2 linked regions of the Tamandua tetradactyla genome follow. The protein of the gene in region 1 binds, or shares a complex with, the protein of each later gene. Links are inferred from orthologs where the notes say so. Each region holds a gene or a part of one and is shown on either strand. Other genes may lie near its edges. The genes, in order: BRME1 and HSF2BP.

Evidence for each region.
Region 2: the proteins of BRME1 (region 1) and HSF2BP are in contact, whole or in part, in a crystal structure (PDB 7Z8Z), measured with the Mus musculus proteins. The link is inferred for Tamandua tetradactyla from reciprocal best matches to the Homo sapiens genes BRME1 and HSF2BP. Residues at the interface, in NP_083321.2 of Mus musculus: Met541, Gln542, Asp543, Ala544, Thr545, Val548, Arg549, Leu551, Val552, Leu555, Ser556, Asn559, Ile562, Met563, Thr565, His566, Leu569, Lys573; in NP_083178.1 of Mus musculus: Glu23, Phe24, Val25, Lys26, Val27, Arg28, Asp31, Leu32, Arg34, Leu35, Glu38, Val39, Gln41, Ile42, Phe45, Leu46, Arg48, Ile49, Glu53, Leu54.

Annotation. Positions count from the first base shown.
Region 1 is NC_135337.1:88,886,053-88,898,717, forward strand, and holds the start of BRME1 (break repair meiotic recombinase recruitment factor 1), read left to right. Parts: upstream 1-6,744; 5' UTR 6,745-6,783; intron 6,784-6,789; exon of another isoform or gene 6,790-6,964; intron 6,965-7,069; 5' UTR 7,070-7,129; intron 7,130-7,638; 5' UTR 7,639-7,659; coding exon 7,660-7,690; intron 7,691-8,148; coding exon 8,149-8,184; intron 8,185-12,665. Other genes in the region: CC2D1A (coiled-coil and C2 domain-containing protein 1A), read right to left, coding at 1-24, 162-234, 505-629, 3,222-3,459, 3,562-3,696, 3,950-4,015, 4,111-4,223, 5,036-5,171 and 1 more. UniProt on the Homo sapiens protein: Meiotic recombination factor component of recombination bridges involved in meiotic double-strand break repair.
Region 2 is NC_135336.1:101,250,765-101,262,787, forward strand, and holds the start of HSF2BP (heat shock factor 2-binding protein), read right to left. Parts: upstream 4,949-12,023; 5' UTR 4,792-4,948; exon of another isoform or gene 4,663-4,791; intron 3,988-4,662; 5' UTR 3,794-3,987; coding exon 3,758-3,793; intron 3,413-3,757; exon of another isoform or gene 3,254-3,412; intron 2,954-3,253; coding exon 2,803-2,953; intron 1-2,802. Other genes in the region: RRP1B (ribosomal RNA processing protein 1 homolog B), read left to right, coding at 5,116-5,245. UniProt on the Homo sapiens protein: Meiotic recombination factor component of recombination bridges involved in meiotic double-strand break repair.

The sequences.
Region 1 (12,665 bases):
AGGGTGGGTCTGCGGGCAGCTGGTCTGGGGACAAAGAGGGCTTGCTTGGGTCCCTCCACACCAGGCTGGGCTGGCCTGGGAGGGTCCCCAGGCCTGATCATGGGGATGGCAGCACCCAGAAGAACTTCCTGGAGGATGGGTGGAGGTTGGGGGACCCTCACCAGGAGGGGGTGGCACACGGGACAGGTCCACAGGATCCCCCCTGCTCAAGGCCTCCAAAATGGCATCTAAGCTCTGGGAGAAGAAAGGAGACGATTAGGGGAGGAGACTGCTTGGGGAACCCCCCCACATCCTGCCATTCGAAAGAAGAGTCCCTTCCTTTATACCATCATTGCTTACGCCCATTTCACAGAGGGGATAAACTGAATTCCCAAGGGGAATAGCAAAACCAGAGCTGGGAAGTGACCCAGCTGGGGTTCAAACTTGGGCCTGCCTCTGTTTGCAAGGATTATCAGGACCCTCCATCCCCATCCTCTCCCTCCAACCCTGTCAGTCTGAGCGCACCTTGGCCACCCGGAAGTGCCTGGTGGCAGTGGCAGTGTCCCCCTGCTGCTTGGCATGGAGGGCGGCCAGCTTGTACTCGCGCTGCCGGCTCTGCAACTGGGCCAGGGTACTGGGGCTGCCGGTACCTAGATGGGGCGCAATGCATGGGGGGCTGCCAGGGCTGGGCCGACTTCTCTGTACAAACCACTGATATTTTATCCTTACAACAAGGACCGTTCTTAGTCCCATTTTATAGGTGAGACAACTGAGGCTCAGAGAGGGGATGCTATTTCCCAAGGTCACACAGCCTGGAAGTGGAAGGGCTGGGACTGAACTTCAGGCCCAGCACGCTCCAGAACCATTCCTATTCCCCAAGAGAATTCTGGAAAACTTTATGTAGCCTTATGCGTTGTTATGTTAATGTCTGAAATTTTTTATCTTTTAAATATAAAGTGCAGCAAAAGTCTCACATATGTTGACATTCGGGAAATAAAACTGTTCCCGCACTCTTAAAAATCTAATGGGCCTTAACACTTATGGAGATTTGAAATTCACAAACATTCGTTTTTAAACTATATCCATGGGCTCATATTTAGCAGGGAATTTCACAGCTTTTTCTCCTTGAACTCTTATTTCCATCCATGTCCTAATGCAATATATTTATATTCTTGAGTCTTTTTTTGTCCACCCTCTCATACATTTGTGTAGCGAAAATACATTTATGCAGTGTGGCTACAAAGTTGGGAAACATAGATTAACTGATTTTTAAACAGTATGTTAGTTATGTTTTCAAATAATATGCTCAATATGTTTTTTGGGGGGAAATTTCCCTACAATCAAAGCCAAACGGTACAATTGTGGATATATAAAAAAAGTGCAATAATTATACCAATGCGTGTCCACAAAACCTGCAAACGCCAGGAAAACAAGGTAAACATTATACTTTTTCAGATTAACAACTGGGCCCCGTGATTTAAATTTAGACATGCTTCTCCTGAAAAGGCATTTAGCAGTTGAAGAAAACCTTGACACTTCACTGGTGGCACTGTCTGTGACTGTAAGTCTCTCAGTGCTAAAAAAAAAAAAAAAAAATTCACACAGATACTTGTAGATGCTAATCCACAATCACCAAAAGGTGGAAACAACTTGTGTGTCTATTGACAGATGAATGGAAAAAGCAAATATGGTCCATCCACACTGCAGAATATTATTCAGCCATAAAAAGGAATGAAGTTCTAATCCACACTATAAGATGGGTGAACCTCGAAAGCATTATCCTAGGTGAGAGGAGCTAGACACAAAAGGACAAATATTCTGAGTCCACGTACACGAAATACATAGAATAAACAAATTCATTGAGACGGAGAGTAGATTAGAGGTTACCAAGGGCTGGTGGTGGGGGGCAAAGGGGAAGGGGAGGTTGTTGCTTAATGGGTAAAATTTTCTGTTTGGGGGGGATGAAAAAGTTTTGATAACATGACGGTGATGATAGCACAACATCGCGAGTGTAGTTAGCACCACTGAAGTGCATACTCAGAAATATTTAAAATGGCAAATTTTATGTGATGCATATGTCACCACAAGAAAGTTAAAAAAAAATTGTTTTTTCTCCTTGGTTGAATTATTGTTACAATTATTACCAGCATGTAAATGGGATCAGAACCCAAATCCATCAGGCTTTTCGCCAAATAATTTTTATGCAATGGTAAAATTTTCCTGGAACAGCACCTCTTGCTGTCATTTTGGGGCGGGGTCCTCTTCCTACCAATTAATCCACATTTCCCCATTCATTCTTTCCCTACTTTTCTTTGGTCTTTTTTGAATGTACTGAGAAAACAGCTCATACCAACAAGTGTATGGAACTGGGTAGAGTCTCATTACCGTAACAGCACGTGATTCTTTGAACTCCAGCCAAACGATATGCCACAGACCCCACTGTGAAAAGTCTGCGGTGATTTTAGCGGAGAATTTCAGGGGATGGGATTCTGAGAAGCCACCTTGAACTTTGCCAAAAACAACAGCTCTGAAGCCAGCCCAGCTGGAGGAGAGTTTTGTCACCCAAGTTAACTCTGTCCCCAACCTGGGAGAAGATTTCAGAAGGGAGGCAGGCCTTCCATTCCTTTAAAATGGGAGGTGGGGGACTGGGAAAGAAAACCTTTCAGGAGGTGTATTCTCCAGGAGCTGAGCTTCAGGGTAGAAGACAGAGAAGCTGAGGGCTTAGGAATTCTTCATTTAAAACTCTGTGCGAAAGATGTTATTGGGATATGTGATACAATTGGTGTATAGACAGTAAACTTTACATCAACGTTAAATTTCTTGAATTTGACAACTGCATTAAAGGGGTTCCATAAGTGAATATCCTTGTTCTTAGAAACTGTACATGGCAATATTATGTGTTCAGGGATCATGATAAATAGACAGACGATGGATATATGGATGGATGGACAGACAGACCGACAGGCAGACAGCTAGCTTGCTAAAATGATGTGGCAAACTGTTAGAAATTGGTGGATCTGAGACTCTAGGTGAAGAGTGGGTTGGAGTTCTTGGTTTTGGTTTTGTATTATTTTCCAATTGTCCTGCAAGTTTGAAATTATTTCCAAATAAACACTTTTAAAAAACAAACAAACTCTCTGCATGCCTCTAAGCCCCTTGGAAAGCCTTCTTCAACTTCAGGGGCCCGGAGACCCAGGAGGTGTTCAAAATATTTCACAATCCATCCATGCCCCCAGACCTACCTGGGAGCAGCTGGGGCTTAGCCGGGGCACCCGGGAACGAGGCCGGGACTGTGGAAGGAGGTCCCGTCATGGTCACCCTAGGCTCTGGGCCTGGTGGGTTTGTCGAGACTGGCTGGGTGGGCGCAGGGGTGGGGGCAGGCATGACCGTTGGACCCTTCCCCACAGCCACAGGTGGTGGGATGTCCTCTTCGTTGATGGTACTGCCCCTTCGGACGGAGGCCAGCAGGTTTTCAAGAGTCTGGAAGGAAGCATGAGCATGGGGGTTTCAGAAAAGCTGGAGCTGGGCTGCCCACCGGGGGTGGTGGTCGGGTCCCCGGCACCCACCTCCCCACTTCCTTACCTTGAGTCCCCGGTCGTAGCGCCGCATCTTTGTGCCATCCCCAGCTTGCCTAGCGCTTTCTATCGCAGTCTGGTAGAGGGCCAGCCTCTCCTGCAGGGTGGCTTCCACCCCTGGGCAGGGAGCTGGGGGCTTTGGCTGCAGGAATGAAGGGGATCCAGGCTGGAATGGGGACTCCACTCCATGTGGCCCTCGTGGTGGGCCCAATGCCCATGTGGGATTTTGGTCCCTGTGCCACTTCCCCTACCTCAGCAGTGGAGTAGTCACAACCCTGTTTCCTGGTGGAGGGGACTGAGGTCCCATGGCCAGGGTGGGGGGACAAGGGTGAGCCCTGAACCTCAGGCTATCTGTAGGACTCTGGTTCAAGGGAGCAGGGTCAACGGACAGGTACCTGAGCCAAAGGTGGCTGGGACTCCAGAACCTTCTGTTCTTCTCCAAGAACCTCAGTGAGTTCCGCCTGGAGGGACACACGGTCAGGGAAGCAGATGCGCTGGTGTGGGGGGCACAGGGAAAAGGAGCCCCTACCCGCCTCAGCTTGCCCTGGCCCCTCACCAGCAGCTCATCATCAGCTTCCACATCGTCCTCATCTGTCTCTTCTTCCTCCTCATCCAGGTCTTGCATGCACAGGCCGGCCATTTTCTCAATGGTTTCCATGGGCAGTGGCCCTGGTGGTAGGGGGAGGCTGAGGCTGGACCCAGGATCCGCTCCCTGCACTGCCAACCTCTTGGGCTTCATCTCTTACTCATAAAACCTCAGTTTGGGGGCCAGGTGACCCGAGTGCAAAACCTGCTCGGCAGCATCCGGGCTGTGTGAGCTTGCGCAAGTGGTTTCACTTGTCTGGGCCTCCGTTTCCCCATTCATTAGATGGGGTCGTAACCATCCTTCTCTCCCAGGTATCTTTTGGGAACTAAAGGCAAATAAGCTCTTAGAACGGTGAGTGGTAATATTGTCAGCATTTTCTATTAGCGAAAGAGTTTAAAGGCTCTGTGTGTCCTCTGGGCTCTAACCCCAAGTAATGGCAGCAGCATCCCCAGAATTCCCGGCCCCCGGCCTTGGCCATGACCCCTCCTAACCATCCCGATTGTGGGTCCCTACCTGGGAATCTGGCCCCGACTTGGAGGTCTTGCCAGGCCCTGCATGAAATGCTTTCCCAACACTTGGGAGCTAAGCATTGTGAAATGTGGTTACCGTCCCCATTTTACATACAGCAAAACCGAGGCCCACACTGGTGTCGTGACTCGTCAGGTCACACAGCCAGTAAGCGGTAGAGCTGGAAGGTGAACCCTGAGTCTGGGTCCTGTGTTGTCACATTAACCTCTTACCCAGACCACCGGCTCTAGGAGGGCAGGGGTCTTCTCTGGTCTTCCTTCCCCCCATCTCCCCGGTACCGGGCTCCAAGTCCAACACACAGCAGGAGCTCAGAAAACACTCAGGGGGTGTGCATGCGTGTGTTAGTGTGGAAAATGCAAGCACTCACCTTTGCCCTTGAGCTTCTCCAGGCCTGGAGGCTGGCCCCCCACCAAGGCCAAAAACTCGGCCTCCAATTCCTTATCATTAACTTCATCTTCGGGAATCATCAAGCCCTCTGGGGAGAAGTCGACCAGCAGGCCCAGCTGTGGGAACAGCGAGGGGCCTGTCAGTTCTTGCGAAGGACCCCATTTTTCCAGAGGCAGCCAAGACGAGCCCACAGTCCCCATGTGACCCATGATACCCTACAAGCCAAGATCAATGGGACAAGCAGGCCCTACCCGCTGCCCAGAGCAGAACCACTCTGCATGCCAGGGGGCTTTTCCTTCTAGAATCTTCAGAACAGGGGGTTGGAAGGTCTGAGGCATCAATGGTAATTAGAAGCCTTCGGGACAACATTGAAGTCAAAAGTAGGGGCTGTGCTGGGAAACAAACTTGCTTTTCTATCCTGGTTAGTAACGAGTTGTGACATGATAATATCAGAACTATACGAACCTGCCCCTTCTATGTAGGTCAAAATGGTGGACAATCAGCAGCGGTGTAAAAGCACCACGTATTAGTGACAACGGTAATGTCTGTTCAGTGCTATGTTCTAGCACTTTCCAGAAGTTATCTCAAGGAAACTTGGTGTTACTAGGATGCTTAGGATCTCTCTTTTACAGATGAGGTAACTGAGGCACAAAGCTGTGAAGGCACGTGTCCAATGTGCAGGTGCGGGAGGGAAATTTTAGGCCTACCAGACTAAGGCCTGGTCACTGAACCATGCCCTGGGCTCCCTCCATCAAAGCTGAGAAAAGCTGAACGCCTGGGTGCTGGGTGTCTGGGGTACAGGAGCTAAGGGAGGGGAGAGGTTCAGCCACAGTCCTGGGGAGCTCGAGGAAAGCAGCTTTCCATTTGTATTTCTGGTCAAGCAGTTAATCCCTATGACCTTGGGCAGGTGTCTTCATCTCTATTTTGTCACCTGGTCAGAGATCAGGACTGGTGAGATTTTATGACTGTGCAGATGGGGAACTCTGGGCCTGGCCTTAGCGACCTAGAGCTGCTGCGGCAACAGGTGGCCCCGAGCCCGGAACGAGACGGCAGGAGCTGGGGGGGCCGGGCCCTGGAGGCCGCACTGTGAAAGGCCAGGGGTGAGCGGCCTCCCCTGGTGGGGGCGGGGGGGCCGGGGACCGGGTCTCACCTGGAGGGCGGGGATCAGCGCCCCTGGTGGGTGGGGCCCCCCCCAAGCGTGTGATAGGGGTAGGGAAGGTGCATCGGGCGGGACCGAGGGGGCACTAACTCACCTGGCGGGCGGCGGCGGCGCCTCGGCCCGGAGGTCCTGGGGGTCCCTTCCTCTTGTGCATCGTCTAGGCTGGATCCCCAGACCACCGGCGCCGGCTCCCGGCCTTGCCCTGCCTCCTCACCGCCCCCCCCACGCGCCGGGGCCTGTTCCCGCGCACGCGCTCTTCACGGGAGACGCGGGTCCCCTCTCTCAGCGCCCCGCGCCCTCGCTCTCGCCCCCCGGGGTGACCGCCCCACTTCCGCCTCGGCCCTTGGGAAGCCGTCACCGCAAGGGAGCGCGGCCACTAAACTCGCCAGGTCCGCCGCCCGAACTACAACTCCCGACAGACAGCGCGCAGGAGCGCATGCGCAGAGCGGGAAGGCGGGTGAAATCGTGGGTGGCGCGGGGAAAGAGGCGGAACGTGAGGGTGGGGGCTGTGTCGCGCATGCGCATTGCCTGCCTTGGCGCTGCGCGGGAAAGAGGCGGAGCGTGTGCAGGTGTGAGAGGCGGTGGCGGCTGCGCGGTTGTCGGCTTCCCTTCGCCACCTGCGGGCGCCGGTCCCACCTGGGTGGCCGGGCCTGAGGAGTCCTCATGTTTCAGGGTCCGGTGTAGGGTTAATGCGGGTCTAGTGGCCGAAAAACGGGGTTCCACAGCGCCAGGCCTCAGGCCTCCCGTCCCGTCAGTCCTCGACCTCCATTCCTTCAACTCCTTACAAGCATTAGTTTTGTCTTTTTTTCTCAAAATAATTTAATGCACATAATTTGACTGATTTTACCCTAACAGATCCAGGAAGCGCTAGTTGCTGCCAAGTTCAGAGGGACCTCCACAATTTCTCTGGCCTAGGTGGGTTTTGGCTAACCGGGACTCGAGGCTGAAAGAAATGGGTCCGTGGGTCACTGCTGCTCCTCCAAGGGCCCAAGCCTTCCCTAAAGACATCTAAGAGCCCCCTTAAAAGTCCCAGGTGTTCAAGTAAAGGGACCCCCGGTGGCTCCTGGAATGGCTCTAGGTACCCCAGCAGGAACTCAGGGCTCGGCACAGGCTGTTGCAGCCCGGGGAACTAGAGGAGGGTTTCCCACAGAGGACCACCTATGCCCACATGCTGCCCAGACTCACCTGGGTCAGTGGACATAAGGTGGGCAGTCCCACTGCAACGTGGAGGTTTTTACCTGGCGTTTGGCTAAGGTGGCAGATCTTGTGCCATGGACAAAGACTGTGACCCCCACCTTGTATCCTATTGGGTCCCATGAACCCCTTGGGGCAGCTGGACAGCCCAGTGGGGTGGGGCTGGTATCTGCTCTTGGAACCACTGACTCAGATTGTTATAATGGAAGGTCTTTGCTTGTTGTCTTCAGGTTTCTCAAGGGAAAGCTGAGATGAGTAAAAGGAAGAAGCTTCGAACCTCAGGTATTTGTCCAGGTTGACACTGCTTTTTTGCTGCTTCTGCATATAGGGGGGATATGCAGAAATGCAAATGGGACCACTCCAGGTTCCTTAAAAGAAAAATGACTTAATACATGCTAATAGGAAAAAGATACAGATTTTGAAGGAGTATGTAAAATGAAATGTGACAGCTTTTTGGAGTCTGTAGGCTTTGGGGGAGGGGTACAGCAGTCTTGGAACCTAGTGCCAGAGATGTCCCCCAAATTAGAGCTTGATGGGCTAAAATGCAAGCCAGTCCATTTTGTGGCCAGTTGCTTCACTCGGGAACCACACACACTGGTTTCATAAACCTGGCTCACTCACTTTGTGATGGAGAATGAGTTCCTCTGTGCCTTGGGGAAAAATACTGTGGCAAAATAGGCATAACATTTCCTTTCCTATAAATCAGGTATAGTAAGCGCACCTACCCTTTCTGTTTATAGCAGAAGAAAATCTCATCTCCAAGGATTTAGCCAAAGGTGAGTATAGTGAGACTTTACTAGTTGCTTCCGCAGCATTTATGCTTCTGCCAAACCAGTTGTCCCCACATCTACCACAAGCCAGAGCAGAAACTGTTTGCTTTAAGAAACCGCATATCCCCTGTCCCTTGGCCATAGCAATCAGTGGCAGCAGTGATTCTCGGCCAGGGCAGTTTTGTCCCCCCAGAGGACAGTCAGCAATGTCTGGAGATATTTTTGGTCATCGCTGCTGGTGGGGGGAAGGTGCTGCTGGCGTCAAGGCCAGGGATGCTGCCAACAGCCTATAACTATAGCACAGGATGGCCCCTACCCCAAAGAATGATCCGGCTGCAGATGCCAAGAGTGCTGAGGCTCAGAAACCCTGCCATAGAGCTGTTGTGCAGATTAAATGAGTGCGTATTTTAAAGCACTGAGAACAGACCACAGGTAGTACCTAAATATGTGCTATTAATATGTCTTGCCTGACTTTTTTCTTACTGTCACAAAATAGATATAATGTAAAATTTGCCATTTTAGAAGCCATTTTTTTCTTCAGTTTTTTTCTTTTTAAATTTTTAAAAAATATGTAACAAATACAAACATTCTTTTTTTTACAAACATTCTTAATATATGATCATTCTGTTCTACATATGTAGTTAATAATTCACAATATTATCACATAGTTGCATATTCATCATCATGATCATTTCTTAGAACATTTGCATCAATTCAGAAAAAGAAATAAAAAGACAACAGAAAAAAATTCATCCATACTATACCCCTTACCCCTCCCTTTCACTGATCACTAGCATTTCAATCTAAATTTATTTTAACATTTGTTCCTCCTATTATTTATTTTTATTCCATTTGTTTTACTTGTCTGTTGATAAAGTAGATAAAAGGAGCATCAGACACAAGGTTTTCACAATCACAACAGTCACATTGTGAAAGCTATATCATTATACAATCATTTTAAGACACATGGCTACTGGAACACACCTCTGCATTTTCAGGCAGTTCCCTCCAGCCTCTCCATTACATCTTGACTAACAAGGTGATATCTGTTTAATGTGTAAGAATAACCTCCAGGATAACCTGTGGAATCTCTCAGCCATTGACACTTTATTTTGTCTCGTTTCACTCTTCCCCCTTTTGGTCGAGAAGGTTTTCTCAATCCCTTGATGCTGAGCCCCAGCTTATGCTAGGATTTCTGCCCCACGTTGGCAGAAAGGTCCACACCCCTGGGAGTCATGTCCCATGTAGACAGGGGGACGGTGGTGAGTTTGCTTGTTGTGTTGGCTGAAGAGAGAGAGGCCACATCTGAGCAACAAAAGAGGTTTTCTTGGGGTTGACTCTTAGGGCTAATTTTAAGTAGGCTTAGCCTATCTTTTGTGGGGTTAAATTTCATATGAACAAACCCCAAGACTGGGGACTCGGCCTGTTGCTTTAGTTGTCCCCATTGTTAGAAACCATTTTTAAGTGTACAATTCAATAATGTTAATTAATTACATCACAGTGTTGCACAACCATCACACCTATATGTGTCCCAAAGTTTTTCGTCATCCAAAACAGAATCTCTGCACCCATTGAGCAAAAACTCCCCATTTCCCCTCCCCCCACCCACGCCCTGGTAACTTCTGATTTCCTTCCTGTCTCTATGAATTTATGTATTCTAGGTCTGTCAGAGAAGTGGAGTTGTACATTCTTTGTCCTTTTGTGTCTGGCTTATTTCACCCAACATGATATCTTCAAGGTGCATTTGTATTGTAGCATGTGTCAGAGCTTCATTCCTTTTTATGGTTGAATAATAATCTGTTATACAAATATAACACATGTTGTTAATTTTTCAGTGGCCACTTGGGTTATTTCTACCTTTTGACTATCATGAATAATGCTGCTATGAACTTCTGTGTACAAATATCTGTCTGAGTACCTGGTTTCAATCCTTTGGGGTATATACGTAGGAGGGGGATTCCCAGGTCATCTCGTCATTCTGTGTTTAACTTTTTGAGGACCTGCCAGATTGTTTTCCATAGGAGCCACACCGTTTTACATTCCCACCTACTGTGTACTAGGGTTCCAATTCAGATATTTAAAAAACTTATCTTAAAATAATTTTAGACTTACAGAAAAATTACAAAAATAGTTCAGAGAGTTCTGTCTACCTTCCCCCAACTTTCCCTAATCATAATATCTAGTGCAGTTGCAGTAGAACAGACACACACACAAAGGTGATGAAAAAGTTTGGGTAATGGATATTGGTGAAGGTAATACAATTTTGTGAATGTAATTAGTATTGCTGACTTGTACACTTGAAAGTGGTTAAAATGGGAAATTTTGAGTTGTATGTATCTTACTACAATAAGAATTTTTTTTAAAGAGAAAAAAAAAGGAGATTAATCTCAGTATAATACTTCTCCAGGCTTTTTCTGTGTATTTGTACAAGTTTACAGTGGTTGTAAATGCACAGTAGAATCATCATGCAAACTGGTCTACAACTTCAGTTCTTCGCTTAACACAGCGCAGTGTGACTGTCTTTCTTTGTGTGTGTATGTATATAGATAAAATATATGTGATTCTGGAGCAGCTAGAAGGAAAAATATCTGAGATGATGGAATGGTAGCCCATGGCAAACTCTGGGATCTGTCCTGTAACTGCTTATTGAAGAGTGCTTTGAAAACTATTGCTTTTTTCTTGCTTGCTTTATATATATGTTATATTATACATTAAAAATATATCTATATCTATCTATATATCTATATAAATTAATTCATAAATAAATATATATATATATAGAGAGAATTTCTTCATTAGGCAAAAACAACAACAAACACCTAACATTACATGGATTCTATTTCCCTGTCATTTTTTAAAGTAATTTAAACTTCTCAAAAATTTAGAAATGACTCCTGCACTTAGAAACAAATTTAGGAGGAGAGCTTGTTTTTCTCAAGATATAATATAGAAAAAAAAATTATCAACATATTGAAAACGGTTTGTGCAAACAGATGAACAACAGCCTGCTTAGAGGTTCAAGGATTTCTCTGACCCTGGAGGGGAAGCTGGGGACAGCAGGCCACCCAGGCAGGTTATTTGGGGCCTCCCTTGGCAGCAGACTCCCCAGCTCAGTGGACGCCTGTGCTGGCCCACAACATCTGTTCTTGTGTGTTCCTGGAAGGGATGAAGAAGAAGAAAGAAGATTCTGGCAGATGGTGAAAGAGGTCATTTCCTGCCCACTGTCCTTGGCCTTTGGTGTTGAACCCAGGGTTCTGTCTTGAAAACCACTTTCTCTTAAACTGGTCCTGAGGGGATGGGTCACAGGAAGGAAATGGGAGGCTCTTCACGTCTGTTGATATTTTTTTCTTTTTATCTGGTACAAATGTCCATTGGCGCAACAAAGAGAGCTAGTGTTTATAAAGCTTAAGAAGCCAAATAAACGAAGCTGCTATAGTGTGCCCTTTCCAGCAAGCTGCAAGGTGAGGATGTGTTTGTGTAAGAAACATTCGGCAGAGCTTTTTTGGGGGTGCAGCTCTTGGGGAGACGCCTGGTGGAGGGAAGCAGGGGGAGGGTGAGAGAAAGGATGTGGCAGACTCAGACTCAGTTCCTGCCCTCGAGACCCCTCGTGGTCTACTTGAGGTGGGGGAGAAAATGCTCCTCTTCGAGAGCTCCTCAGGTACACAGCAATGGGATACAGTTCTAAATGGGAACATGTGAACCGTAACTGACAGAAGAAATGGGAGGAAAGTTGCTATGCCCTCATGAAGTACGAACATCTGAGTTAAAACTGAGGCAAAACTAACGGCGTTGGAGGTGCTCGTTCAGTTGGATTTACTTCAAGATGTGGATTGTGGATAGAATTGCATCCCCTAAAAGACATGTTCCAGTCCTTAACCCCCGGTCTCGTGAATGTCCCCCTATTTGGAAATGGGATCTTTGAAGATGTTATTAGCTAAAAAGAGGCTAAGCTGGATTAGGGTGGGTTCACATCCAATATGATTGGTGTCCTTATAAGAATGGGAAATTGAACACAGTAGGAGAAGAGAAGATGGCCAGGTGATGGAGGCAGGGATTGACTTATGCTGCAAGCCAAAGAACTCCACGGATTGTGGGCAAGCACCACCAGAACCCCACAGACTTCAGAGGGGGCGCAGCCCTGCCCACACCTTGATTTCGAACTTCTGGCCTCCAAAACCATGATACGATAAATTTCTCTTGTTTTTAGCTACCCAGTCTATGATACGTCATTACTGCAGCAATAAGAAACTATGATGGTGTATAAGAAGTGAAGGTTGGAAATGGGGAATTGACCTGACTGAACTCCACAAAAACGGGACCTAAAGTTCATGTTTTTGCTCTCACTCCCTGGCCAAAAGCTCGGTACACAGTCAGCACTCATTTAACATTAGTTAAGGGTGTGAGCTCTGGAGTTGGACTGCCTGGACTCCACACCAGGCTCCATCACCACGGTTCCTTGGCCTCTCTGTACCTTGGTTTCCTCGTCT
Region 2 (12,023 bases), on another chromosome or scaffold:
GTTGAAGGACGTTTCTCTGCGAACTTTGTAGTTGGCTTGAGTCTTGAATCACACTTGTTTTTCTGGCCCAAAACAAGGCTTCCTGTGGCCCCTTTCCCCTAATTTTGGCTCTTGTGGGTTTACCACATTGGTGACTCAGATAAAAAAACGAGGAAAACAAACATTTCCCTCTTTTTCCTTCTATTAGACCTAGACTTGACAGCCCTCCCTGGGCCTTTTAGGAGCCTGTCTTTCTAGACCACCCCAGGAGCCATGCTCTGAGAATGGGTATTCCACAGAAAGAATCCACAGCTCACATGTGGCAGCAAGAGACGTTCGGCACGATGAGTTTTCTACACTTCCTCAGCCCTGTGGCCAGTACGCTTCTTGGATTTGACCAGTATCAAAACTGCTTTTGCTTCTTGAGGTTGGTGTGTGCCAGGTCCAGACCAGATTTGAGAAGTTTATTTTAGAGTGTTGATGTCCATCTATTTGGCTGGCCTGGATGGGCTCCAGCTATCAAGTAACTTATAAGATAGCCAGAAAATTTCAGTTGATATAATAAATACCAGGGAGTAACTGGGGCTTGATCTGACTCTAGCACAAATAATTACTTTTGGGAAACTTAGGCAAGATAGGTGATAGAATTTGGAGTAGTACCAATGAGGATATTGCCCAATATTCATTAGGGAATAAATGAACATCAAAGAGAGATGCATGGTTCATTAAAAAAACAAAAGAGAAGATGTTTTAGACTAGGGTGATGGCATGCATGCAAGCTGCAAATGGGAGTGAGGAAAACCTGATTGGGGATTGATAACCTCAGTTTTTGCTTGATCTGTGGAACAAGGATTAGGGTGTGACAGACTGCGGACTGTCAATGTGAGCTGTTTGTAGAGGACAGAATAATTACAGAATAGACATTTTTAAATTCCAGATGAGAAGCAATGGGAAGTTACCATATGGGAATGACATAAAACCAAGAGAGTACAAAGAAAGTATGGTGTCCTCCAGGACCAAATATTTAGCAAAGAGGCCTGCTCTGTGCTACACACATAGGCAAGCACAGGGGCCCCGCCTCAACTCCCCACCTAAAGGGTGCTAAGAAGTGAAGGGTAAACCAGCAATGGAACTGAGAAGGAATGGCCAGGAAGTGCACCAGTGGGAAAGAGGTGACACCATGGAGGGGCAGGTTGGGCAGCCGGCCAAGGTCTCCTCAGCTAACTATGAACAGGTTACCAGAGATTGCTTTGTGGTTCTCACTTTCACAAGCATCACAATTTGACGTGGGAAAGGACTGATCTCCAATAAACTGACTCATCATAACCAACATGAGACCCTCACATATTTTTCAGAATATCAATGTATTGATTTACAGTAAGAAATATAACCAACCGGCAGGCCGATATACTCTGCTCACTGGCCAGCAGTTTCCTTTCCCAAAGACAAACATGGATTGAAGAGGTATGCTCGGATGGTTGATGTGGTAAGCATGGCAACAGCACAAAGGCAGCTGAGAAGCCAAGGACTTGGAGCTGTGGAAACCAGTGAGACAGAGCACATCAGTCAGGGTGCCAGCATGAAGGAGAAATCAAAGAAAAAAAGAAAGATTAAAGTCCCAGATATCAAGGGACTTTAATGAAAAAACTTACTGAGGGAGAGCAGATAAAAGTCCCAAGAAGGGATGGTAAAAACAGCCCCACAACTGAAGGAGCAAGGGGAGAAAACAGTCCTGGAGGCCAGCGAGAGTTGGGACAAGAGAGGAGGTCACTGAGTGGTAGACACAGATGAGGAGGGATGAAACTATGCCAGAGGAGAGCAGCAATGCAGGGAGGGTGTGGGGGAGGAGATGCCCCCACCACTCTCTCCTCTCACTGATAGGTTTCACTGGCTGGCCCTCTGGCAGGCAGTAAGGGAGCCACAGAACACCTCAGTGCAGAGAAGGAGAGAAAGGATCCCAGGACTTCAAAGAGAATATAAACAGGGCATGACTACAGAAACTGTGAACAGTCTCTCTTCTAACTGGATATGACTGCCCCATTGACCAGATAGTTACACAAACCAGAAACTTACGTTCTTGAGTCTGGACCCAAGAACTTTCCTGCGTAACTTCCTGTCTGGACTAGTGCTAGCAACACTACCTCAGCCTCCTGGATGTACCTTTCTAAGGCCTCACAGCGATGGCTGTCAAATACAGTCTGGCCAATTAGCCTTAATCACTGAAGACAGACTTCATGGTAATGCAGCTTAATGAGGCAAGTGCTGAATCCATCCAGAGGACCTCCAGGCATCTGAACCAGCCCCTGCACTGGTGTCTGATACAATGGCTCAGCTCAGATCTCCAAAGTCTGATGAATAAGTCCCACCAAACCTGAAATGAAAGCAGTGCTAGAAACAAACCCATCTGTCAACCTAAAGAACCTAGGGAAGTGAACACACATTCAGCCACCTCTGCAGACACATTCAGCTCCAGGCAAGCTTTCCACCATGACAAGATCCTTCACTAACCCAAACGTGGACTTAATCTTCAGAGCAGACCTCTTTAATAATCAAAAGTATAAAATTCTCCCACCATGGAAGAGAATGAGAAGCTAGTAAGAGATACTCCAGAGAGCTGGCCACCCTCACACCAACTCACCCATGTCCAAGTAATTCATTCGAGGCCACCTGCCCTTTTTATGTCTTATCTGAATCCCCAATTTAATTATATAACCTATAACAGTATCTCAAAAATTATGTATCATTACTTTCTAACGAGGGACGCTGTATCTGCTGAAACATTGTTGGAGTCAATGGTGATCGTTAAAGATAGAAAAGACTCACTTTTTTCTACAATCTTTAATTTCTGGAAGCTTTCCAGTACCTCCCCATTTAGTATTCTGGGTAAGAAGTCCCGTATTTGCATCACTTCAGTTGTTAGACGTTCCAGGTCCTTCTTCCTGACTTTAACGAATTCTTCTTTAGTTTCCACGTGCTAAAAGAACAAGCAGATCTTATGATCATACCATTTCTCTTCAAATGACTAAAACTAGTGGCCCACTTCAGCTTACTTCCTTCTCTTTAATACCTCTGGTGCTACTGTTCCAGAAATTTATCTTTATAATATGCCTTCTGCTATATTACATGCTGAAGGTAGAAGCCCTGATCTTCAAAGTGAGAACCAGATATGAGAGAGGGGTAGGACAAGAGTCCTACTCCTAAAAGCCAAAGAAAATGCCAGTAACTTTCTAGTAACATTTTGGCACTAGGTTAATCAAGAGAAAATGGGAAATACTTCTGCTGGATTCCTACTAGACCTGTCAAGCCCTCTGCTGGACACCGTATTTAATACTCAGTGAAACCCTTCAGGACTTTCCAGAGCAGAACACCGAGGCATGGAAGGCCAGGTGACTCCCCAGCGTGGGACACTGGGGACCCGAGGGGTCAAAGCCAGCATTTACAGAGCCCCGACATCCAAACTCCAAGCACGTCCTCCTACATCACAGGAGGAAGCACTCTGTCATGTTTCAACCAGCGTCCAAGTCCTGGTCCGATGGAAACTGGGTTTTCAGACGCTGCGAGGGCCATTCACCTCACCCTCTCTGCCTCTCGCGCTCCCTCCAACTCCCCACACCCGCCCCACCGCAGCAGCGGCAGACATCACCTCGACCTCACGGCAGCCACACCACGTTCCCGCCCGCACCCGCCCGGCCCCCGCTGTCCGTGGAGAAGGCCCGAGGCCTCCCCGACCACGGAGCGGCTCCCGAGCGCCGTAGAGGTCCCCGGCCTCGTCACTGACCCGGCAGGCCTCCTCCGAGCCGCTCGCCTCGCCCATGGCCGCGCCGACCTCCCCGCAGTGCGCCTGCGCGGCGCCGTCTGCCGCCTTCCGCGGAAAACGCGGGAACGCGGCCGCGGCCGATGCTCGGTACGGACAGCCGTGAGGTTCAAATGTCGTGGCTTCTGCGCCGCATTTGAGAGGAGTGAGAGGAGTGAGCTTCTCCGGCTTAGCCCGGGCTATGAAGTTGCTAACTGCAGAGTAAAAGGAAAGTGAGACTTTGGTGTAAATATCAAGTCACCTAAAGTGAGCCGGTCCTTTCCTGCAGAGTGCGGAAGGCTATCAAGGGGCAACTGCCTGCCCGCAGCCTGCTTCCCGGGAAACCTCACCGCAGCAAACTGCGCACCTCCCGCTCTACTCCAACCCTTTCCTATTAAAGGTTTCACCTTTAGGACCCTTCGGGAGGGCTGCACACCATAGGAAGTTCTGCAGCCAGCTAAGTAAATGAAATAACAAAGATGAAAACCGTCAAATTGGACAAATAGCCTCGTCCGTTGACCTGCCCCAGTGCGCACCCTGGACTCGCAAAATTTGAGCTGGCCTGTGGTTTTGAAAGGTTCCCGGGGTTAGGACCATTCCCCTTTCTCCCCTCGCTTAGGCTAGCCAGAAGGCATTGTTCACAGTCCCGTTTAACTGTGGACGTTTTCCCAGGCTGGCTGGAGCAGGAATCAAGTCGAGACGTTTGCACAAAACCCGAAATTCCTGCCTTTGCGAGCAGGGAGAACAGGCGTGCGGGCACTGCTCGGGCCGGGTAGCCGCGGTACTGCTGGACGACAGACCGGCCTGCCCGCCCTCAGGGTCCTCCAAGGGCTGCCCCGGACGGGCTTGGTGCCGACACCCCCAGTGCGGGCCGCCGTGCCCCCCCTCACCTCTCCCTAGTGTCGCGCGCGGAGGCCCTACACTTAGGAGCTCGGCTGCACGGTGCCCCGTAGGTCGTGTGCTGAGCGTGTGGGGGGTTGGCTAAGTGGACCTAAGGAGTCCAGAAACTGAAAACTGACATCCGTCTCTTCCTGACGAAGACGCAGCCTTGGCTACCGCGCCGCCAACGGTCCTGAATTTTGGCGACCGAAAGGCGGCGAAGGCGCGAAGATGCGACGGCGCGGCGCACCCAGGAGGGGCGGTTCGCGCCGGAGGCCCTGACCAAAGCAGCGCGGGCTTCGGAACGCCCCCTACGAGGCCGCCGGCGCCTTTGTGACGCTATCAGCCCGCTGACGCTGACGCCGCCTCCTGCGCAGGCGCGGCGCGGGCCCGGCTTGGCGGCGACCGCGGCGTGAGGCTGAGCGACCGCGGGCTGGACTGCCCGGGATGCTCCGGCTGGCGCCATGGTCCCTGCGATGCAGCCCGCCGAGATCCAGTTCGCGCAGCGGCTGGCGTCCAACGAGAAGTGGATCCGGGAGCGGGCGGTGAAGAAGCTGCGCCAGTACATCAGCGTGAAGACGCAGAGGAAGACAGGTGGGCCCCCGGCGCTCAGCCACATGGCGGGCCGGAGCCGGCCGCGGCGGCCGGGAGGGCCGGGGACACGCCGAGCCCAGCAGGGAAAGGGGCTTCGAGCAGGGATTCGTGACTTCTTTCGTGGGCGTCCATGTGTCCAATCCATGTAACCGCCTTTTTACTGTATCCAGTCCTATGTTGATGTTACCGCTGAGCAGACAGGCCGGAAGTGGGTCACTGATTTACTGAAAGTCACATTCAGTAAACGGGGAGGCTGAGATGAAACCCGGGTCCGTCTGATTCCCATTCCCACGCCTGCACTTTCAGTCATTACATTCACCCGCTTTTATTTCGGCGTGCTCTTCGTTGATTGATTCATGCCAGCGTTTGGTCAACATGTTTAGGTGCTGGAAATACAAGAGAGGAGACAGACAGAATAGCTCCCCTCAAAGAACTCCTAGGAAAAAAGCTAGAGAAGGTGACAAATACAATAGAGCTTATATAAGTGTAGTGAGGAAAATGAAAATCACTTAACAGCGAGAAAAAAGGAGAGAAGCAACTCTTCTTCATTGGCTGTTTTCGGGGCCTCGCTGGGGTGATGTTCAAGTGAGGTCCAGAGGCAAGAGGAAGACAGCCCTGCAGAAAAGCAGGAGAGAACTTAGCATGCCCTAGACCTGTAAATGAGGAGGCTGGGGTGTCTTGAAATGAAGTTGGAAACACAGGCAGAGGGCAGATCGCATAGGGCTTTGTAGTTTGGATTTTAGCTGTAGTAGAGTGCCAGCGAAGGATTTCATTTACCAGATATAGAACATGTGCCTGTAAACCCTTGAGTGAGCTCAGAGTGTATGAACTTGTTCTTGAGTGAACATATAGGTGTGCACATGGTGCAATATGCTATAGTAAGATAAAGTTTGATTTAATCACTGCTAACGTTAATGCCTTTAACATCTGCTTGAAAGAGTAGCTATTATCTATCTCTTCACCACGTTCTTAGTTTCTTTTATTTTGAAGAGAAACACAGAAGACTACTCAGGAAAAATTGAATCGAATTTTAGTTCTGATAAACAGAAAGGGGAAAGAAGACCAAATTCTTAACTTCAGTTCTCTTAGCTTCTCTTACGGTTTCAGCTATCCTATATACACCTGAGGTTACAAAACCTAAATTTCTAGCCCATACCTTCCCTACTTGCAGCTCAGATAACCCCCACTAGCCTGACATCTCTGCCTGGATTTCCAACAGTCACCTAAGACTCAGAGTGCCCCAAACTGACTCATTTTATTCCCTCCAAAACCTGTTATTTTCTGTTGTTGCAGCTCTCCCTTGTCTGCCTGCGTTATTTTATTTTGGTTGCTAGTTCTCCACCATCGACTCAGACTCCTCACTTTTACTCATCCTCTCCCCCCAGCCTACATTGAATGTCCCTTGGTCCTACTTGTTTCACCTCCTAAATGACCACCCTGACCACAGGCCCACTTTATCTTACCTGGAGTCTTTGCGTACTTATTTATGTCCCTCTGCATCCCCATTGAATCCATCTCCACTAACCAGTTCAGGGTAATCTTTTTATTTATTTATTTATTTATTTTGCATGGGCAGTCACCAGTTTGGCAGGCAAGAACTCTGCCTGCTGAGCCACCATAGCCCACCAGGGTAATCTTAAAACAAATCTGATCCCTGTAGTACCCTCGAAATTCAGGGTCCCTTCTAGCTACACCTTGACCACTTCATGTTCTATCAACAACAATCTATTCTTGGTTCCTCATATGTGACACACCATTTCTCACCTCTTTGCCTTTTTTTAACACAGCAGAAAGCTCACCCCCTTTCTGCATTTGGCACTCAGTTCAGTATCACTTCCTCCAAAAAGCCTTTCCTAACACCCCTACTCCTTTATGATTCTAAAATACCCAGTGTATTGTGTATGGTCTCTGTTGTGGCACTTAGCTACATTGCCTTTTAACTATCTCTCAGCGTGTCATTCTTCCTCCAAAACACCGTGACCTTCCACTGTTTCCTTAGCTGAAAGTCAGATCACACCCAGCTGTACGAGGACCTGGCATGCTGTCCGTATTGCACCCTAGAATGGGTCTGAAATGGACCAGACAAACCCTGTTGCACAAACAGGCCTTTGGTCAGCAAGCCCAGGGTCTGCAAGATGCTAAAATGATGCAGGGTATGAGGCTAGTCGGTTTACCATTGCCCCAGGGTCCTGGCTTAGTACCCATCACAGCTAGAATTACTTGTGGTATACCTCTTGTTCTGCCCCCTAATCTATACTGCAGGGTGTATAGTGGGCCCTCAAAAAAACTCTGCAAAGTGAATATCGTAGGCACAGTGATAACGGGGCAGGAAAAAAAAAGTGCCACAGTTCCCCTCCATCAAAATAGAGACACAAGTTTAAAAATAAATTGACCTGATATTTGAATCTCATAGACAGACTCGCATTTTTTGCATCTTGTCCTAGGCAAGGTAAAGAAAATCTGAAATTTCGCTTATACTAGTACATGTAGCTGTTTATCAGCAGCAAAAATAGATAGCTTTGTGATTTCAGAAAGTAAATTAGGAATCCCTGTACTGCTTAAAGCAACCACACATTGCCCTAGTGCTTTAACTGTTTGTGCTGAGCATTTACAATAAAGGAATAATCATTGTTTAGTGAATAGTTTCCTAGCTGCTAAAATAAATACCATACAATGGGTTGATTTCAACAACAGGGATTTGTTGGCTTATGGCTTTGCGCCTACAAGAAGTCCAAAATCAAAGCACGAGCAAGGCGATGCTTTTTCCCTGAAGACTGGCATTCTGGGACTGGCTGTCAGTGATTCTTGGTCCTTGGCTTTTCATTTACATGGCAGTGCACATGGCAACATCTCCTTTCTGTTCTGGGTCCTGTGGGCTTACAGCTTCTGGCTCCTCCCCATGGCTGCTCTTTCTGTGTCCAATTGCCGTTGCTTGTAAGGACTTTAGGCATGTTGGATTAACACCCTCATTCGGTTTGGTCTCATCTAACTAATAATACCTCCAAAAGTCCTATTTACAAATGGGTTTACACACCTACGGGAACAGCAGTTGAGACCTAAGCATGCCTTTCATGGAGACAGGATTCAATCCCCCACAATTATATCCGTGGTTCTAGTTCATAAAGGCTCATTTGTCCAGGTTTAGTCATTCATGTATTCAGCAAATACTTTGGAGCACCTACTACGCACTGTTAGGCGTACTGTTCTGGCACCAGGTACGCAGCATTGAACAAAGCAAACAAAGCTTCCTGTCCCTACTTTATTGATTCTGCAACACTTTTTTACATGTAACAGCTCTAAAATTTGGATGCATCTTACAGTCTACCCTGTGATGGTTTCTTTTGCATCATTTTTTTCTTTTGTCGACCCATAAAATACAGTGCATCTTATAGGCAGTGATGTCTTGGGTTCAGTGGAGGAGACAATGTGGGAATAAGTGTTTTGTCATACCACTAGGGTTAGGATTATCCCTGACCAATAGTTATAGGAGGAGTCGTGGGTGTTTTGACAGAGGGCCATGTTAGCATGTAGCACTTCACCCCATTTAAAATTGCCCCTGTGCTCGTTTTGTGGTGAGAGTAGCTGTTGGGTTTCTTCATAAAAGCTTATTGGTATTTATTATCTCCACATTAGAATTGAAGCAGTAGCAGCAGTTCTCTGTTTTGCTTTAAATGCTTCAAAAATTGGTACCTTATTTTTACTGACTAAATTCCTGGGGAAAAGCAAATGACTTTTATACATATATTGAAAGCAACTGTTTTTAAAAGGAAAAAAAAAAGCTTCAATAGAATATGGGAAGAGAAACTGAAACAATTATTATATCCACCAATTGAACAGTGCTTTACTCATACACAGTGCTTCTCATGCATGCTCTTAATTTTGACCCTGCCCATATCCATTACGTATGTTGTACTTGCGGAAATTGAGGCCCAGAGGTTAGCTAATTGCTTTCTAAGACTGCACAGCTAGTAAACAGCCTGACCACAGGCTTGTTTCCACTGAGGAAACCTTCAGGGCCAACCCCCTTTCCGGCCCATTGTTTAGGATCTAGTGTCACTTTGCTACTTTTTCAAAATCAGTAATTTTCTGTTACAAAAACCTAGTGGTGGCCCCTTGTGGTAGTTAGGTTCAGATGTCAACTTGGGCAGATGAAGTTGCCTAGTTCTGTTGCTGTGGGCATGGGCTGACGGCATGTGGCTCTGTCGCTGATTACATCTGCAGTTGGCTAGGAGGCATGCCTGCTGCAGTGAATGATGTTTGATTTAACTGGCTGGTGCTTAAATGAGAGACTCAACATAGCACATCCCAAGCAGCTCAGCATACCCCATCTCAGCACTCGCAGCTCAGCCCAGGCCTTTGGAGATGCAGAAAAAGTTGTTGGAACACAGAGGCCTGGAGAGAAGGCCAGCAGAGATCACCCTGTGCCTTTCTTCCCGTGTAAGAAAGAACTTCAGTTGAAAGTTAGCTGCCTTTCCTCTGAAGAACTTACATTTTTAACTAAATAAATCCCCTTTTATTAAAAGCCAGTCCATCTCTGGTATGTTGCATTCTGGCAGCTTTGGTAGATTTGGTACCAGAGAAGTGGGGTTCTGCTGCAGTTTGCAAATACCAGTCACATTGGATCCGTTTTTTTGAATGGAAAAGGGGAAGATTTTGGAGGAACTATGAGGAAAATGATGGAGACATCCTGGAGTGCTTGAAGAGACTGTTGGTGTAAACGGAATCACTGCCAATCTGGACAAAGGGGAACACAAAAGGGACGAATTGGAGTTTGCAGAGTGAGAACCATGGAAGTTCAGATCTGAAGCCAAGAAACCTCAGGCCATGAGAGTGGACCCACCCATGTACATGGAGAGGGTGAGTTTGCCCTGAAAGGCAAGGATGAGTCTCCCACCTCATTGCAGTGGAAGAGTCGTGCACCCTCAGGCCTTGGAGAAAGTGCAGCACGCTCCTTGGGGACTCGGGAGAGCCTAGCTGCCACCATGTGGAGGGGTTGAGTATGTGCCCTTGGAATTGGCAGAGAGCCCAGATGTGGCCCCAGTACTCGTAGAGTGTGGAGCCAAGAAAAAGATGGTCTTCTCAATGTTCCCTGAGGTTGATTCAGAAAGAGGCAGCCCGCTGCATAGGCCCTTGGAAAGGGTGAGCCTGCCACTTTCTAAGCCGAAGGATAAATGACTTTTAGACTTTGAAATTCAGTGGAGTTAGCCTTGCAGGTTTTCAGAACTATTTGGGTCTTGTGACATCTGTGTTCCTTCCAATTTCTCCCTATGGAAATGAAAATGTATCCTGTGACTATCCCTCCTTTGCATATTGGCACCAAAATAACTTGTTTTGAGATTCATAGGTCCACAGCCAGAAGAGAAATTTTGGCACCTTAATATCATTTAAGGTGATGTGTATAGTTGCCAAGTTGACAAGGGGTGAACATGTGGTAGTTAGATTCAGGTATCAACTTGGCCAGGTGAAGGTGCCTAGTCCTATTGCTGTGGACATGAGCCAATGGCATGTGAACCTCATCTGTTGCTCATTACATCTGCAGTTGGCTAGGAGGCGTGTCTGCTGCAGAGAATGACGTTTGACTTATTTGGCTGGTGCTTAAATAAGAGAGCTCAACGTAGCACAGCCCAAGCAGCTCACATACCTCATCTCAGCACTCACAGCTCAGCCCAGGCCTTTGGAGATGCAGAAAGGAATCACCCCGGGGAAACTTGTTGGAACCCAGAGGCCTGAAGAGAAGGCCAGCAGAGATCGCCCTGTGCCTTCCCACATAAGAAAGAACCTCAGCTGAAGTTCAGAGCCTTTCCTCTGATAAACTATACATTTTTAACTAAATAAATCCCCTTTTATTAAAAGCCAGTCCGTCTCTGGTGTGTTGCATTCTGGCAGCTTTGGTAGACTAAAACACCCCTCGCATTATACCTTTGCCTAAAATGGTTCTAGGTTTATCAATTTTCACTTAACATTTGCTTGATATAGTGGTGCACTTAGAGGATCCATCTGCAGATAAATATACACTGTACTATTTTTAAGTGAAAAGTGCCAGGATACAAAATACATAGAATATGATGTCATTTGAGTCACATAACACATACACACCCCCTCAAAATTATGCATTTCAGTATTCAATGTAAGTATGTAACTAAATGCTAGGAAAAAGTCTGGAAAGAGATCAGACAGGTAACAGTGGTGCCTCTGGGGAAGGGTCCAGGATTTGGGAAGTAGTGGACAAGCCAGAATGTTTTATTTATAACATCTAATGTAGTACATGAATTTTTTTGTAGTCCATGTGTATTTTTATTGGTTAGGATTCTTTATCAGTTGCTGTTTGACAGAACATCCAAGCCACACCAGTTGTAAGGGGAAACAGTGAGGCACGGCTTCATCGGGCAGCTCAGCTGATGACACCAGAACCTGGGTTTTCTCCACAGCAAACTCTGCTTCCCCTAACTTGGCCCCGTTCTCAGGCAGGCTTCTCTGGGTGGCCAAGCGCAGCTCTAGATGTTTAACTTCTCTTCAAGTCTAATGAGAAAGAGCTGGCGCTTTCCTAAAGCCTGAGCAACAGAATCTTGACCAGTGATAGGGTCATTTTTACATTTCTGAAGCCAAATAAGTTCATGTTGGTTTGCCTGAATGAAGCCCACATGGCAGGCCTTCCCTCTGGGTGGCTGAGACCCACCCAAACATGTGCCTCTCTCCACATGACGACTCCACCTGACCACATACCCCAGCAGGAAAGTGGAGAATGCTAGAGGGGAGTAATAGCAGATGTCCAGGACCG